2 linked regions of the Caenorhabditis elegans genome follow. The protein of the gene in region 1 interacts with the protein of each later gene in a pairwise test. Each region holds a gene or a part of one and is shown in the gene's direction. Other genes may lie near its edges.

What was found.
Region 2: the proteins of ret-1 (region 1) and wdfy-2 interact in a two-hybrid assay, tested with the Caenorhabditis elegans proteins (2 studies listed by BioGRID).

The regions. Positions count from the first base shown.
Region 1 is NC_003283.11:14,844,267-14,849,290, reverse strand, and holds the start of ret-1 (Reticulon-like protein), read left to right. Parts: upstream 1-1,978; coding exon 1,979-2,075; intron 2,076-2,694; coding exon 2,695-5,024.
Region 2 is NC_003280.10:9,318,310-9,322,378, forward strand, and holds wdfy-2 (WD repeat and FYVE domain-containing protein 2), read left to right. Parts: upstream 1-1,555; 5' UTR 1,556-1,568; coding exon 1,569-1,632; intron 1,633-1,703; coding exon 1,704-1,905; intron 1,906-1,960; coding exon 1,961-2,307; intron 2,308-2,478; coding exon 2,479-2,596; intron 2,597-2,716; coding exon 2,717-3,076; intron 3,077-3,122; coding exon 3,123-3,279; 3' UTR 3,280-3,569; downstream 3,570-4,069. Other genes in the region: csa-1 (WD_REPEATS_REGION domain-containing protein), read right to left, coding at 1-55, 284-517, 562-648, 693-839, 1,120-1,163; Ras-related protein rab-39, read right to left, coding at 3,759-3,902, 3,952-4,065. UniProt on the Caenorhabditis elegans protein: Plays a role in coelomocyte endocytosis.

The DNA.
Region 1 (5,024 bases):
TTTTTGTTTTGAGACATTTCTTGTGCAATTTGTGTTCAATTTTTGAGCACTATAAAAAATAATTTTCCATATTTACGGTGCAATTCTAACAATGCTGAGTTCCCAATTTTTCCTGACGTTCTCCAACTTTTCTGACATGCCGTCAACTCTTTCATGAATTCCAAATATGAATGTTCCGTTTTGTTACTTCAAACTAAGTTTATACTGACAACTTCCTTTTTTTGGAAATGATTCATTTAGACTTGATATAATTAATTACCTGCCATTAGGTTTCTATCTTCTTTTCTATTGGCAGAATTATCTATCTTCTCTCGATCTTTTTTTTTATTTTGTTTTTTGTTTCATTTTCATTTTTTTTTCTCAAAATTTCATTTCACAACTTTCTCAAGTTACTCGATCAACTTCTTTCTTCTTTTCCAAAACTTTTTTCTGACAAAAAACTCTGAAACCCAACCCTCTCCCCCAATCCACGTCATCAAAACTCTCTGACCTACCTGTCAATGTGATTTACGATTAACAACAGATGCCCCTCTTACATCTGAACAGCCGACACAGCACGTGCTTTAAATGTTCTAGCTGTCTGCGTATCTAATATAAACTGGCATTTTTGTATGTTATAGATTGACAATTGACTGTAACTGGGGGAATGGAAACAGTTGGAAGTTTTCAAAATAGAGGTTATGGAAATAAAAACAATTTTGTTTGTTTGCTTACGTCACTCACCACACTCTTTCCATGAACATATGAGTTGATATCAATTGATAACATGGAAAAACGAGACAAATTGCATATTGCTATATTTATTTTCGCTTTTTCAGATGTCAGACTTTCTAAATTTTCAATATTGTTACTACTAGTACTGCTTCTTTTTTTGTGAGCTTATATCTTGGCTCATTTTTTTAAAAAGAGAAACGTCAGTAGGAGAATTGTTCAAAATATCTTCTATAGTGCAATTACCACTAAAAATTGCAAGATTTATTTACAATCAAGATGTGCCAATTTTAAATTTTCGCGGCTCATAAATTTGAAAGTCATTTTTTAAATCAACCAGAAAATGGTTTTTTATAACGGGTTTCAACATAAACGATTGTTTTGGATTATGTGAATTTGAAAAAAAATTTAATAAATTTGTAATGTTAAAAATATATTGTTGTTTTGGCAGTTTCAGAATTTTAATTGAATTTAAATTTGAATGTCAGAAAAAATTCAAAAATAAGTCAGTTATTGGAACTTTTTTTCAAAAAATATTTCCTTTGCCAATAAGCACTATAAAATCAGCAGTGAATTCGAAAAAAATTAAGTGGCTGTTAAATAAGTCAATATGCGTTTGAACAAATGACGTAGAAATTTGAGATCGACTTTTTCTTATTCACATTCGTGCTTCTCTGCGTGTTTTCCAAAACACGGTCGCTCTGTTTTGATTTCAACATAATATTTAAACAGGTGAACAGACCGCCATGCAAGATTTATCGGTCAATAAAAGGAAGCTGAAAAAACTAATTTCGAAACCTTCGAGAACAGAAAAAAAAACTGTTTCTCTTTCATGGGCAGGCATTTCATGAGATTTTTAAGTGCTTTCCTTTAAATAATTTTGAAGCCACCATGATTTTGAGCTTATCACTGACACCCCCATCTTTCCCCTATTGTCATTTGAAACGTATGACTTGGATCTCTGTTTGAGCTGAAAAAGAGATGAATGAGATGAAAGAGAAGAAGACAGAGGGCAACAACAAAAAGAAAAACAAAATAGCACAAAAGAGCGAGATGATCGAAAACCCCGAGAGAAAGCAAAAATGCTCATCACCTGCGGTGAGACGGCAGCTGTCCCCGCAGAAATATCATGTACCTGTGCGGAGACGCAGGGTATACAATCACATGGTGAACTCCTCGGGGTCCCTTCATCTCGTGTCAGCACATTTTTGTGAGCTCCAAAAAATTTTGTCACGAAAAACACCACTTCATGGATGCTGAAAACGAAATGAACGCTGAAAATGTCGATGTGGAACTTTTCTTTCGAAAACCACCGGAGATCACAAATTTTGAGTTGGTTAAGACAATTTGGATTGACCCGAAAGGTGAGTGTTTTTTCATATTTTTTTTAAATTTAGTTTGTAAAAATGCAGTTTGAAAAAAAAAAATTGAAAAAGCTTGATTTCTAATAGATTGTATCTCTTGCTAGTTTTTTTTGTGAATTTTGAAAATTTTGAAGTTCATAAGAAAAAGCATTATATAACTTTTTTAACTTAAAATTTCTGAAAAAAAACTTTAATAAATGTTCCACGTATCCAAGTAGGCACATATCCGATATCTACCTCTGAAATTTTTGTTTTTGATTTTTTCAGTTTATTTCTAGACATCCCGCAAAAATGATTCAAAAAATAGTTTTTAGGCATTAAAAAAGATAAAAAAAAATTTAAAAAGATAAAAAGGTAAAAAAGTCGACAAAATTATGTGGAAATTGTTTGGATTCCGATATATTTCGGAAAAAAATCTGAAAATCAAATTCGAAAACCCATATTAAAATATCGGAAAAGAGCTTTTGGAGCATTTATAGGTCTCAAAAATAAAGCAAAAAAACACTGAAATAATTAAAAATCAAAATTTAAAAGGTCGAGATTAATGCTTTGTCAAGGTCTTTCACTTAGAAAAAATAATATTCTTAAATTTCCTTGGAAAATCTTTTTGTCATTTCAGAGGAGACAAATTCCACAAACGAGCCAACATCTGAGCATGAGCCAAAATCCCTCCAGCCACTTGCTCTTCAACCCCTTCAAACTCCTGAGTCAGAGTCCGGTGGGTCCTCTTGTTCTCATTCGGAAGTTGAACAACTTCCTGACGATATTCTCAATGAACCTCTTGATGATGAAGTTTTTGAAGAAGAAGAAGAAAATGTGCAAACTGATTTACTGTTCCGTCAGCCAAAGAATTCAGAAATGGAATTAGCTTACACCATTTCAAAAAGTGCCGAAATCAACCTGGATGAATTGGAATTTGAGGATGAGGAAGTCGAAGTGGATCTTTTGTTCCGTGAGCCAACTGATCGTCGATTTGAATTGGTTTATACAATTCCAATGATGGAAGATGTGAGTATTGATTCTCAGGAAACCATTACTTTTGAGGACATTCCACCATCTGAAGAACTAGATAACGTTGTGGAAGAAGTTACAGATGTTGCTGAACTTACTGAATTTACATTTAAACCAGTTGAAAAAGATGAACAGACTGAAACTGAGTCATTCACTACAGTCCTAGAAGCGAATGCTGGAGAAGGTGCAAGAGACTTTATCGAAAGAGTTAAGTTGACTTCCAATGACACTTTGGATGATTTGGATGATGATCCTGAGGAAGAAACTTTCCAAAATTCGTTTGTAAAATCTGTGGACTCTAAGACGCCAACTCCAACAGGAGACAATTATGAAATTGAGGATTCCTCTGTATCTGATGTTCTCAAAGATGCAGCCGAAAAATTGCAAATAATTCGAAATTATTCTGCGGACTTGGAATCCGAAAAAGATACAATTAATACGGATGTTCAGCATGTCTTCATTGGTCTTGAGGATGAAGGTGGTGTTATACCAATAATCCAAGAAACACAAGAATATGTTGCAGAAATTGGACCTACTCAAGATAATCAAGAGTATGATTCTACTTCTAAAAGTGATTTGGAACCTCAAAGCTCTGCTGATGGGGTTGTGGAAACTTCGACTTTCGAAGCCCCAGCAGTCTTCGGATTGGAAGATTCTGAAGATATTATAAATAAGCATGCACTGGAAACAGCATCAAATCAAGAATTCTCGAAAATTAAAGAGCCTGAAGTGACTGAAGTTTCTGAAAATACCGCAGAAAATTTGAACGAAGAAGTTGGAGAATCTAAGAATCCGGAAGCAATCGATCTTGTAGAATCTGGAGAGAACGCAGGCATCGAGCAAAATGCAGGAGCTGAACAATCTCAAAAAGAAGCGGTTGAGGAAACTTCAAGTTTTAAAGCCCCAGCAGTCATTGGGTTGGAAGAATCTCGAGATATTTTGAAAGATCCTTTACTTGAAACTGCACCAGATCAAGAAAACTTCAATAATAAAGAATCTGAAATGACTGAAATTGCTGAAATTACAACCCCAATTAGACTTGAATCGTCTGGAGACAACTTCATTGGTACCGATCCAGAAAAGGGCACAGAACAAATTAAAGGTTCTGAGAGCTCCGAATTAGTAACCCAAGAAGTCATTGGGTTGGAAGAATCTGGAGATATTTTGAAAGAACCAGCATTGGAAACTGTAACAAACCAAGAACTTTCTGAAAATAAAGTTTCTGAAGTGACCGAAATTGCTGAAAATATAACCCCAATCGGACTTGAATGTTCGGGAGACAATTTTATTGGTACGGATCCAGAACAGCAGCCAGAGCCCATCAAAGGGATTGAAAGTTCAGAATTGGATGTCATTGGGTTGGAGGATTCTGGAGATGAAGTGAAACAATCACAGTTGAAATCTTCAGAAGATCAAGAATTTTCTGAACTTAAAGAACACGATGCATCTGGAAATGTTGATGAAACTGGTGAGAGCGCAGATATCAAACAGGATGATGTAACGGAAATTGTTCAAAGAGAAACGATTGGGCTTGAGGATTCTGGTCTTGCAGAGATTGTCGCTGCTCATGAGAAAAATTTGACATCTTCTGATATTGACAGTTCTGTGATTCCGGAAGATGCGGAAAATGCATCTCCAGAGGCGATTGGCCTTGAATCTTCTGGAGACAACTTTATCGGTACGGATCTAGAACATGAAGAAGGTCAGATTGACAATTGTGAGAGTTATGTATTGGAAACAGCAGCTGTCATCGGTTTGGAGGATTCTGGAGAGAACTTGAAAGATTCTGTACAGGAAGATCCACCGGAGAAAGAATTCTCTGAAAATAAAGAATCTGAAGTTACTGGGGATGTTGAAAATACAACTGCAATCGGACTTGAATCTTCAGGAGAACACTTCATCGGTCTGGAACAAGGACAGCAAGCAGCTTCCATTGAA
Region 2 (4,069 bases), on another chromosome or scaffold:
AACATCAATTGGTTCATCATTCCAATATATCGATTGAGGTAGATCCATTCCGACTCTGAAATGATATTTATTTTGAAATATAAAATGTTAATTAATTTTAATTAAATTTTAAATTTTGAAATAATTCATAAAAATTTAAGACAAGAGGTTCGACCAGGGGAAATTGTAAGACCAAAGTTTTAGAAAGTTAGGCAGTCATAACAAAATATAGCTCTTGTTCAATACAAGATCCACTAGCCTTCAGGCACGTAGGCAGGCATTTCGTGGAACTTTTAAAGCTTACCTAAAATCTATAATTTTCATTGATCTCCCTCCATCTGCCACGGCAACTTTTGAATTTGTCATATTATACTCATTCCAATCAAAATAAACATCTCCTTCAAATTGTTTCCCATGAACCACTTTTTCCATGGTACTATCACAAACTCGCATCCAATTTGATGCTGTTGTAACCATGAAAAGGCGAAGATCGATTGGACACCATTTTATTGTTTTCAGAGATTGCTTCGCAAGTTTTCTGAAATCTTGATAAATTTTAGAATTATTGCGGTTGTTACATACAGAGTCATAGGTTTCTTCCACTTTTTACGATCCAAGTATTTATATTTGGCAACTGACACTGAACCACTATGAGATCCAAATAGTAGCCTGAAAAATCAATTTTTTTTAAACAAACTCCTAATTAAACCAACATTTGGTCACCATCATCTATATCAATCGCACTAATATCTTCTTGATGGCCTTTCCCCGTCTGATCACAACCCATAGGAATATGTTTTGTCCATCGAAAATTCAAAAGAGCCCGTGAAACTTGTTGTTCTTCGAAAACTCGGCGTTTTCTGCAAAAAATTTCAAATATAACTCAAATTTTAAAAAAAATTAGTACAGTAAGAAAATCTAGGCCTGTAAATTCATAAAAGTTTAAAGTCGTTGCGGGACCCGTCTGGTTTTCTGACTCTTGCGCCTTGAAAAAATTGCGGTACTGTCATTTATTTTCTTTATTTGCGCATTTTAACATTAAATTTCTCTATTTTTCTCGTTTGTTTTAAATTTTAATTATGCATTTGCACTTTTTTTTCAAAATTATTACGAAATTCACATAAAAACCGCAAAACTCACTTCAAATCACAGCTGAACATGTACTCCTCGTGACGAACAGTCATTTTCCTGTTGAGAAATTATAGAAACATGCGAATAAATATATTACGATTAAATAAAAAGCTCAAACGTTGCTGTTAATTTGAATATCCTCCTTAAAACAGCCAATGGCCTAGAGTCCACCAAACAAGTTCATTCTCGGCCGCACCGGTTTTCCGTTATTTACCGGGCACTGATTCATCTGTTTCCAGACCGGTTGCAAAATTAGTTTGATAAAAATTTCAATTTCCACAAGGAAATATTTAGTTCAGAAATAGTAACAAAAGTAAAAAAGGTGCAGAAGTGTAAACAAACGGGCGAGAACACGTGGTTTTATCGATTTTTGCTTTAAACATCTGCATTCCGTCCTCTAAACTTTATGTGTCATTTATTGGCATTCAATTTGATTTTCTTTCAGATTTTCAGCCATTATGGCTGCAATAATCAATCAACGCGTCGAACAGGGCGAATCAAGTATGGGAGGAGCCAAACCAGGTTGGTGAATTGAAAACGAACCATTTGATTTCCATAACCTGTGTAATTTTCGAATTTATTTTAATTTTCAGCTCTTCTTCACAGAATCACTGGCCACGTGGCTCGTATCAATGACGTCATTTTACTATCAAAAGACGAAGGAGTCTGGACTGCAAGTGATGATAGATCCGTTCGCCTGTACTTAAAAAGAGATAATGATCAATTTTGGCCGTCAATTCATCATTTCATGCCAGTTGCTCCAACAAGTCTTTATTACAGTGAAGAAACTTATAAGTTAGTTTAAAGTTTAAATCGTTTTATTTTTTAAATTTTTAATTTTTTTATTCAGGCTGCTCGTCGGACTTATCAATGGAAATGTCTATGAATTCAGTGTTGCCGATGACTTTAACAGTATGACAGAATCCCGAAAATGGACATGTCACGCTGGACCAATCTCTGGACTCGGCTTTGCACTCTCCTCCGAGCTCATTTTCAGCTGTTCTCGAGATAAATCTATCGTCTGGCATTGTTCAGAAAATTCAAATAAGATGGGAAGTTATCTTTTGGAAAATAGTTGTACAGCAATGGTCATTGATCTTCCATTTGTATTCGTTGGAGATCATGGTGGGCATGTCACTGTTCTTCGTATTGTCGATAATCAACCAAATCTTGTCAGCAAGCTTAGTGCACATACGAGTGAGTTTTTATCGTATTCTTTTTTTTTGAGTAAAATATTAATTCGAAATTTTAAATGCTATCGTGCCTAGGAAAAATATTTGTTAAGTATAACATTCCAGTATTTCCTGAAATTCCCCACAATCAATACAATTAGTAATTGTGGTTTGAATTAGTTCAATGATTTTTCAGATGCAATCACCTCGCTCACATGGGACGGAAATAAGAAAGTTTTGTATTCTGGAAGCAGTGATCATCTCATCATAATGTGGGATATCGGAGGAGGAAGAGGAGAAGCTTATGAGCTTAAGTGAGTGTATATTTCTGGAATTTACGTGATATTTCGAAAGTGTTGATGTTTTTCGAGCGCAAAAGTTGAATTATATTTAGTTGAAATAGATTTTTCCAAATTAAAAAATGTTTTTTTCAGCGGACACAATGGAAAAGTGACAACACTATGCGCAGCTCCAGCAGCCAAACGTCTGTTCTCGGCTGACGAACACGGAAAGCTCATGTGCTGGGACATGAATTGCAAGAGAGTTGAGACTCCTGAATGGAAAACTTCGGATTGCTGTCAGAAATGCAATCAACCGTTCTTCTGGAATCTTCAAGCAATGTGGCAGAGGAAAGTGGTCGGATTGAGACAACATCACTGCAGAACCTGTGGATCAGCAGTCTGTGGATCTTGCTGTGACAACTGGACCACCTATCCACCAATGGGATATGAGACGAAAATTCGCATTTGTAATGACTGCAATGCACGAATGAAAGATAATCCACAGAATTTCAAGTAAGTTGTAAAGCAAATGACTGATGAAACTTATTTTCAATTTTAGCCTTACTCCACTTGCAATTCCACATGAAATCCATACTGGAATCACTGCTATGCATCTCCAGGAAACTCTCGGACTTCTAGTTACCAGTGGACAGAATCGTGTGATTATGATTTGGGATGTTCGAAGTGTTTGCTCTGCCCCTTCTGGATCACAATAAACAATTGCTTCTACTTCTCGAATTTCTCATAATTCTTTGTATTTCATCTAATTTATTTCCTCTCCTTTCTATTTTGTATATTCACTCTCAAAATGCCCATCCTTCCCCAAGACCAATTGTTGTCAAATCAAGACCTTCTAAAACTTACCAATATTTCCCGATACCCCTGACAGGTTGTCCTGAATAGTGATTGTGATTCTTACTTTTCTTCTAATCCCGATAATTTCCTAGTTTTTCGACTGTAAAATTGTATTTTTACAACAAAGTTTGAAAAAAAATCTTTTTTTTTGAAGTTTTTGGACAGAACGACTAGAAATTATTTCAAAAGAATGCATGCCGGGAGAGTAGGTGAGGTTGGTGACACTGGATGAAGGAGAAAGCTCACAGGAAGTACACAAAATAGCTGAGTTTTTGATGTTTATAAGAACGCTACGCGAAATTATGACTACGGGGAAAATTAAAAAATTGAGGAGAAATTATCAACATCCGCAAGCTCCTGCGCTGCTGTTTTGAGGGAAACTTCTTTCGGATAGGCACACGGATTGTGACCTCATAATACCAGTTTTAAGGCCTTCCCAGCCATCCACGGGCCGCAGTTCTCCGTCGTCGACTCGATTTTGAATCTAAAAATTTGAAAATTACATCATAAAATTGAAACATTTTCAAAAAAACCTCTTGTGCAATCATATGAAAAGCTTCATTAACATTGTCTCCTGTTCTCGACGACGTCTCGATAAACTTCATTTTATGGTACTTGGCAAAGTACTCGCCTTCCTCATAGTTTACCTGA